Linked DNA regions of Rattus norvegicus. The main gene of each other region encodes a partner of the protein of the gene in region 2 in a complex. Links are inferred from orthologs where the notes say so. Each region holds a gene or a part of one and is shown on either strand. Other genes may lie near its edges.

The links.
Region 1: the proteins of Ncoa5 (region 2) and Esr2 are in contact, whole or in part, in a crystal structure (PDB 4ZI1), measured with the Homo sapiens proteins. The link is inferred for Rattus norvegicus from reciprocal best matches to the Homo sapiens genes NCOA5 and ESR2. Residues at the interface, in NP_066018.1 of Homo sapiens: Ser344, Leu345, Ile346, Leu348, Leu349, Ala350, Asp351; in NP_001428.1 of Homo sapiens: Ile310, Lys314, Phe319, Leu324, Gln327, Val328, Leu331, Glu332, Leu490, Glu493, Met494.

Annotation. Positions count from the first base shown.
Region 1 is NC_086024.1:100,641,741-100,646,316, forward strand, and holds the start of Esr2 (estrogen receptor beta), read right to left. Parts: upstream 2,970-4,576; 5' UTR 2,649-2,969; intron 1-2,648.
Region 2 is NC_086021.1:174,161,260-174,165,070, reverse strand, and holds part of Ncoa5 (nuclear receptor coactivator 5), read left to right. Parts: intron 1-407; coding exon 408-534; intron 535-3,811. UniProt on the Homo sapiens protein: Nuclear receptor coregulator that can have both coactivator and corepressor functions.

The DNA.
Region 1 (4,576 bases), on a different chromosome or scaffold from region 2:
GGGCACACCTCTCAAGATGGTCAGGATTCCTAGACAATTTAAAGTAAAATGCTTTCTGATTGTGAGGGCTTTTGCTTCTGAATTTTCCTTTTTTAAAACTTCTGTTTGGCAGAAATCCATCACCTCAAGCAGTCTGGACAGCTGGGCTATTAGCACCTTGCCTGCTCTGCGTGTGCAGAGAAGTTACCACCTCCTGTGAGGACCAGATCTTGGGCCTGCAGACGAGGACAGCTTCCACAGGCCAGCTCCATTCTTCTTCCAGCTGCCCATCCCCCTCCACAAAGCACCCCCTCCACACATCCCACACCTGTGCTCCCCATCAAAGTAAAAACCCACGCCCACACACACCAGAGAGAATTCCATGGACACGAAAAATATGTATAAAGACATTTCTCTTCTTCCTCTTTCCTTTTCTAAGGCAAGGTCTCATGCAGTCCAGGCTGGCATAAAAATTGCTATGTAGCCAAGGCCATCCTTAAACTCCTGATCTTCCTGCTTCCATATTTTGAGCTCTAGGATTATAGGCAAGGACCACCATGATTGATTCATGTGGTTCTGTGGCTAGAGGTCAGGGCTTTGTGCTAGCTAGAAAGACCATACCAAGTGGCCAACATCCCCCGCCCCTTGGAGACACCTCTTAAGCCTCACACATTCTTCCTGCGTGCTTCTGCTTAGCAGTTATTACCTTTGCACGTGCCTTTTCCGAAGAAAAGTATTAAGGCCCTCAATCAATTTCATGATAGGAACAAAGAAAACTTACCCTAAAACAACCATAAAATTGACCACTAATAAGGAACTTATAGGCAACTCGTTAAAACTGAATGTGTATCTTCGGAAAATGAGAAAAGGCTGACTCTTCTCTATCATGAATCTTTCAGTGGTCTTTCTTTTAAAAGCTTAAAGGCAAACTGTCTGTAAACAATACTGCAATACGGATCACTTTTTCAAATTTCTATTACAATGTACTAAATAAATCCTGAATTATGAAGTCTAATAACCAAAGGGTCAAGCTTCAAGGGCTTTGCATACATAATTGAAACAACTTACCTAGAAATGATTGGAATTTATTCCTCAGGATTTTATATAACCACTTTCTAATCATTCCATAAAATGACTCAAAACATCAGCTAAAATTTTAAAATGAAATGTATTTTTTTTGAAAAATGAAATATATTTTAAGTCGTTGCCTGTTTAATACACATTAAATAAGACAGTGCTTTTGCCTTTAGAAGGAGCCCATTAAGTGCTAGTTTATATATTTGATATGTTGAATTTAGTACTAAATTTCACATTTTTTATATTAAAAGTAAATTCTGAGAGATATCAAATCTGACTAGATCCATTTGGGTTCCTCAGACCCACCTTGAAATTGTCTTCTACCTGCTTTTTGTTAATTTCAAACATTTATATATCTTGAGCAAGACTTAAAGGGTTGCCTTTAAAACTGCTCTTTACATAAAAGTTTCAGATTCATCTAGACAACTATGAACATAAAATGGAAACCTAAAATTCCTGCTTTATCACTTACTGATAAACCCTCATCGTTTACTTCAGATAGAATGTCTGGAGAGCAGTGGGTCTCAGCCTTCCTACTGGGGCAATCCCTTTAACACAATCCATCCCGTTATTGTGACCTCCAACCACAAAATTAGTTTTGTTGCCACTTCATAACTGTAGTTTTGCTACTGTTATGAATCGCAATGTAAATGTCTTTGAAGGTCAAGGGTTCTCAAGGGGGTCAAGACCGGCAGGTTGAGGACAGGTAGAGCCTTGTCCTGGAAAGTGAAGCTCCCTATTACATCCTCCTTGTTGTCAATATATATCCACTTTCTAATCTCTCCTTTCACTCTTTAAATAACATTTACACGGAGAGAGAGGAAATATCCACCGTGAGCCGGATCACCACAGGAACAATGAAATTTCAAGTGGAATGCTCACAAAAACACTTGAAATAGAACAAGACATAAAAATCTTTCCTCCAGGGTACTATGTGCCAAACAGAAACCTGCCTTCTAAATCCTAAGTAAAATCACCAGGCTTGCTTTCTTAATAGAGCTCAGATTCATAGTTTTGTTTTACACACACACACACACACACACACAAAACCAACAGTATTCACTTGACCTGATTTCCTCCTTCCACTATGAAATAGTCACCACAAATAATCTGGAAGAAGCAACAGTTAGATTCCTCTCCGGCATATAAGAGAAGTCTCTCTCTCTCTCTCTCTCTCTCTCTCTCTCTCTCTCTCTCTCTCTCTCTCTCTCTCTCTCTCTCTCTCTCTCTCTCTGACTATCCAGGGAAGAAGTCAAACTCCATTTCTGACACGACTAAGGATTCAAGCCAGGATCACCTGCCTAAGATAGACACAGCTTCCCAGGTCCACAATACTCAAGGAAGAAGATTCATCATCTTATCCACTGCTAGGAAAATCACAGGAATTTTCTTCCTTTAAAAGGACAATTATGTTCATACAAAAAAAAGCAAAAAACAAAAAACCAAAAATCCAAAAGTCAATAAAATTTCCGTTTCCGGTAGTGTTCAGTAGAGTTGCATCTATCCCCCAGCCCCAGCCGCTTTATTGTTCTAAACTCTGCTGGCCTCCCACAAATTCAATTAAGCCTCACAATGAGCAAAGGGACACTTACCTGGCAGGTAAACATTCTCTATTTTGCATTCTCTAAATGCAGACAGGTGCTTTCCTCAGCCACAGAGCCGGACTCCCAGCCACTGGTTGTCGCTCAGCCATGCAGTGGCTGCCAGACTTTATTGCAGACCTGGGTGCCTAGGGATGCCAGTGGCAGCACCAGCCGCTCCCCCTGGGCCAGCTCCCCACCAAGAAGTTTCAAGAGGTGGCTGATTCTAGAAGCCTCGCTGAAGGCAGGGACCTGAGAGTGCGTTTCAAAAAGGCCAGCAGCTGGAGAAGCTGCAAAGATTACCCACGACTAACGGATGTTAGTGCGTCTTTTAAAGACCTAGAAAAGAGTGTGGGAGGGTAGCTAAAAAGTTCACGTGACCACAAACCCGGAGCCGGAGATTTCAGGCACTCCCGCGCCGCGCAACCGGATCCACTGGATGTCGACCTCCAGCCTCTTCACAGTCATCCACTAGGGACACCCCCCTTCCAAGAGACTGACGATGGAGAACCGAGATGGAGCCCGGGAATGGGAATTTCTGACCAGATCCCCAGGAATTCTGGACTTGACTGCGTGCGTCCAGGGACCACACTTCATCTTGTTTCCATACTTTGACCCACGCGCGTGTCATTAAATGCTTAGGTCTGACAACTCTCCTTAAGAAGCATGGGCCAGGCCCCGGGTTCTGGTAATAGCACCGAAATAAGCAGTAATAACGGAGTAATGAAATCAGATCCCTTTCCAGGGAGTGTTAGCTTGAGCCCCAGAAAGGCAAGGGCTGGAGGCGGAGGTTTGAATGCGTGTCTACCAGCGGCTGGCGATGGAAGTGGAGAGAAAAAAAAACAACGAGGGAATTCACCTGGAAAAAATCTGCCTGCGCTTTTACAGGGCTCCTCTCTTCCTTGTCCCAAAGGGTCTCTGGCGCCCCCTGATGGCAGCTCGGATCCTCCCAGCTCCACAGCGTTAACCTGGAAGTGACCCTACTCTACAAAGGCAGGGGATCACGCCTTAGTTTTTTGTTTTTTTTGTTTTTTTTGTTTTTTTTTAAGAAACAATTGGCTTTAAGGCAGTCTGTGGTGGCAAAAGTTAAAAGGAAAACAAATGACCTGTAGGCCGACCTGGTGTCACTCGTGTACCTAATTAGTGGTCAGGCCATCCGCACACATCATGGGGCGTTTATGAAGGGTTTCAAAGATCTACTTTTTTTTTTTTTAAAGATTTATTTAATGAGTACACTGTAGCTGTCTTCAGACACACCAGAAGAGGGCACCGGATCCCATTACAGATGGTTGCAAGCCACCATGTGGTTGCTGGGATTTGAACTCAGAATCTCTGGAAGAGCAGCCAGTGCTCTTAACCTCTGAGCCATCTCTCCAGCCCCAAAGATCTACTTTTTATCTTTTAAATTATGCACACGTGGGCTTGAGGGCACGCGTGCAGATGCCCACGGAGAATATAGGTGTGGGATTCCCTCCTGGGCATGGGTGCTGGGGCAGAACTCAGCTTCTATGCAAGAGCAGCTTGCTATCTTAACAGCAGAGCTGTCTCTTCAGGCCCGGAATGTGTTTCTTGATGGATGGAAATGTAATAGAAGAAAACCAAGGGGTATTTGGAGGGAAACTTGTACAACGCCAACCTCAACATTTCAGGTGTAACCAAAATGCCTTTGGGGACCTTCCTGAGGCCTGGGTTTATGAGTCCCACAGGTAGGCACCACAGACTACACATGTGGAAAAGAACCTACTTTAAAAACTATGAGCAAAGGCTGCCGAAAGCCTCACTGCCCCCATCGTCTTATGTGCACGTTTCAGTTAAGCTAAGAGTCCTGTACTCTTCCCCATTTATAAGGTAAAATGTCATCCTTGAGGGTTAGGAAAGGTAGAGTGGACAGGAGAGGGGCTACCTACTGAGACCATTCCGGTGAGGAAAGGAAAGGGTGA
Region 2 (3,811 bases):
TGTCTGACTGTTTTTTTTGTTTTTTGTTTTTTTTTTTTTTTAAAAAAACAAAAAACAAAAAAAACAAGAGTAGCCCTTGCTGATCTGAGGTCACCCGTGTAAGCTAGGCAGACCTTGAACTCAGCAGTCCTCTGGCCTCAGTCTTCCAAGTGCTGGAAATACAGGCATGAGTCCCCGGCCTGGCTGATCCACCTTTTTAAACCATAAATAGCTAGCTTCCTTCTTGGTCGGTTTAGTAGTAGGGTTATATAAAGCATCACAGTGGCTGTGACCTGTCACCCAAGGTTTTAGCTTGATGAATTTAAGATAGTAGAGAATGGTAGAAATGTTTAAGATTGACTCAGAATGTCTCGCTGCATTACGGAAGGACAACCCTCACTTAAGCCTCCCCTGCTGGTGTCTTGCAGAGCGTTTGAAACGTGAGGAACGACGTAGAGAGGAGCTTTATCGTCGGTATTTTGAGGAGATCCAGCGGCGCTTTGATGCTGAGAGGCCTGTGGATTGCTCTGTTATCGTGGTCAACAAACAGACGAAGTAAGAAGCCTGTGCTTGTTTCTTCTTGGTGTGGAAAAGGGGTCAGTGCTTAGCAGCTCCACTCCCTGACCTTGCTGGCTTACTCTCTTATTACCTGAGCTTGAATTAAGAGTTTTTTCACTCAATGACAAAAAACCCAACATAAAGGGGTTGAAAACAAACTAAAAAGTTTGCTTAAATGGGAAGTTCAAACATGGCCTCCTCTAAAGTCTAACTGTGAGCAAAACATGTTCCCTGTCAGTTTCTCCTTCATGCGTTCCTTGCTTATGCCCTGTTTCTGACCATGTTTTCTACTTGAAGAGTCAGAGTGGCAATGACTTTAGACATGTATCTTCTTAGCTTAGCAAACCTACTAAAGATGAGGCTTCTCTTCCTGATATATTCATATTTGTGTTCTCTCTCTCTTTCTCTCTCTCTCTCTCTCTCTCTCTGTCTGTCTGTCTGTCTCTCTCTGTGTGTGTGTGTGTGTGTGTGTGTGTGTGTGTGTGCGCGCGCGCATGTGCGTGCACATAAGTGTATGGTGTTACAAAAGCCAAATGACAGCATAGGCTCTCTTTCTTGCCTTGTTCTGTTGAGAAAGGACTTCTCAGCCAGGCAGGGGTGACACACACCTTTAATCCTAGTAAACAGGAGGCAGAGACAGGCAGATCTCTGAGTTCAAGGACAGCCTGATCTACAAAGTGAGCTCCAAGACAGCAAAGACAGCCAGGGCTATACAGAGAAACTCTCAAAAACTCAAAAAAGAAAAAAGAAAGGGCCTCTTTTTAAACCTAGAACTACTGTTACTCTGCTAAGTTATCAACTGTAAAACACCACAGTTCTCCTCCGCTCTGTCTCTGGAATTACAGATGCACTCCATCCTACCCAGCTTTTATGTGGTGCTACCGTCCACACTTGTGTCTTCCTACTTACTCAGCAAGTAGGCCGTCTCTCGCCATCCCTTCCAGGGCTCTACTGGACGTCTTAGATTCTTCCTGAGACTAAGCTAGCTTATCATAACTCCCAACCCTGAGGTGTCGCTTTGGACTGGGGCCCAGAATACTGTGATTTACAAGGGCTGGGTTTAGAGGTGAAGTTAGCCTTGCAGAACCATGGGAACTGAGAATAAGAGTGGAAGTGTACTCGAGTCAAGAAAACCCCACCCACTTCCACAGCAACCACCTTGAATCCTGTAGGACCTGTTAAGTGACCACATTAACCAAGTCAGGGTCCTAACAGCTCTCTGTTAAGTGTTCACAGTTGGCTAGAGCTGGGTTCTGGTTCTCATGGAGTTAGGAAATCCTTATGTTTTCTAGCCATCTACTGTTACAGATGCTCATTTCAAAAGTGCAGTGACTAGGAAATCTGTTAAGATAGCAGCTAGCAGACAAGAGTTCAAAGGCTTTGGGCTGCCTTACCTTTTCAAGATGCTAAATAAGTAGTCATCATTTTCTAAGCACCTACCCCATACGGCCCACTGGGTGCTTTACATAAACAATTTGTAACCTCCTCTGTAATTAGGGTAAGAGTCTGCATGTGTGCGTGAGAGAGAATGGCTAGGTACTGAGACTGCAGTAGTAATAAGCAGATCTCAGACTGGTGAGGAAGGTGACAAAAATACATAGACAATGAGTTCTGTGAGGGGAAGGACCAGAGGTTTAACTTAAATTGGAGGCAGAATCAAATGACAGGATCTAAGTCATGTTCCTGTGCTACTGGCTCTGAGAAAACAACTGAGTTTGCTAAGAGTTAAAAGACTTACTCGGAGCCTCACTTCTGACTCAGGCAGGTCTTACAAAGGACAACATTTCATTGGGGCTGGCTTACAGGTTCAGAGGCTCAGTCCATGGTGGGAGCATGGCAGCATCTAGGCAGACTTGGTGCTGGAGGAGCTGAGAGTTCTACATCTTGATCTGAACGCAGCCAGGAGCAAGTTCACTTCCACAGTGACACACTTCCACCAACAAGGCCACACCTCCAAATAGTGCCACTTCCCGTGGGCCAAGCATTCAGAGCACAACAGCTTTACAAGTAAATGCTGGAACTGGAATCCTAACTCACATATTTACCATCAAAGCACATTGTGTTCCCGTACAGCCTCCTCAAGGGTTGAAGAGTACAGCAGGTCCTAGAGAGCGGCAGGTATTGGACTAGAGAATCAAAAGAAAGGTGTCAACCAGTTGTGGTGAGACCTATAGTCTCAGCACTTCAGAGGGGAGGAGAATTACTTCAGGTTTAGGGGGAGCCTGGGCTACATGGTGAGATCATGTCTTGAGACACATACACCCATTCCAGAATGCCAGGGCTGCTACAGTGCAGAGCCTGTGTAGTATGTGTGGGCGGTATGACTAAGGAAGCCCTACTGATGGAGAAGAGAGAGGGTGAGACTTTGACCTTCTAGGTAGAAACTGCCCAGTTAATGTCATTGATCATTAATACTGTTTATTCAAACAAATTCATCAGATGCTCTGGGCAAAATCAGTTATGGAAGGTTAACCTGATAAACTAGACCCTAGGAAGGATCCGCACTCATTTCCTTCATCAGACTCCTTGGCTTTATTCCAGGTCTAGGACCAGAGCGGTCATGCAGGCTAGTGTAGGTGTAGGATTGCCTAGTTTGCTGTTGGTTTTTATTCAGTCATCAAACATGATACTGATGAACAATATGGCCACTAAGTCTAGTTGGCATATAGGACTGACAGGGAACCTATGGGTCCCAGGACAAAGGTTCTACTGCCTCAGAAAGACTGAACCTGGGTGCTTAGAGGAAAAGACAAATAAGGTTGTGAGTAGATTGAAGTAGATTTAGTTTTTGGCCCATCCCATTACTCTCTTCATGAAGAAAGGAGTATGAGCATTGGTGGTGATGTGGCTGAAGGATAAGGAAGAGAAAGAAGGAGGAAGACGGTCTACTAGGACCCATAATGCACAACGCTGGTTCCATTGAAGAGGCAGAAGAAAAGGACGATGGAGAAGTACACTGGTAAATGAAGTCTGTCCATCCAGAGAACCCTTGTCTCAGAAAACCAAAACACAGAGAAGAGTTTGATAAAATCAAAGCTTCTTTGGGGCAGAAATCCTAGTGATGCAGGGTATCCTCTCCTTAGGATTCACCAGCAATTGGGGATAACAGTGGGCTACACAACCACACGTCAGCAGCTCCTCAATAGCACAGGAGCACCATTGTGGATTCCAAGGAGCTCCTTCTTTTAAGTATTTCCTATGAAATGTTGCATCAAAGCAAAATTTGGAAAGCTATCAGAAAGAATTTGGTCAAAACATGCTTAGAACGTTTTGT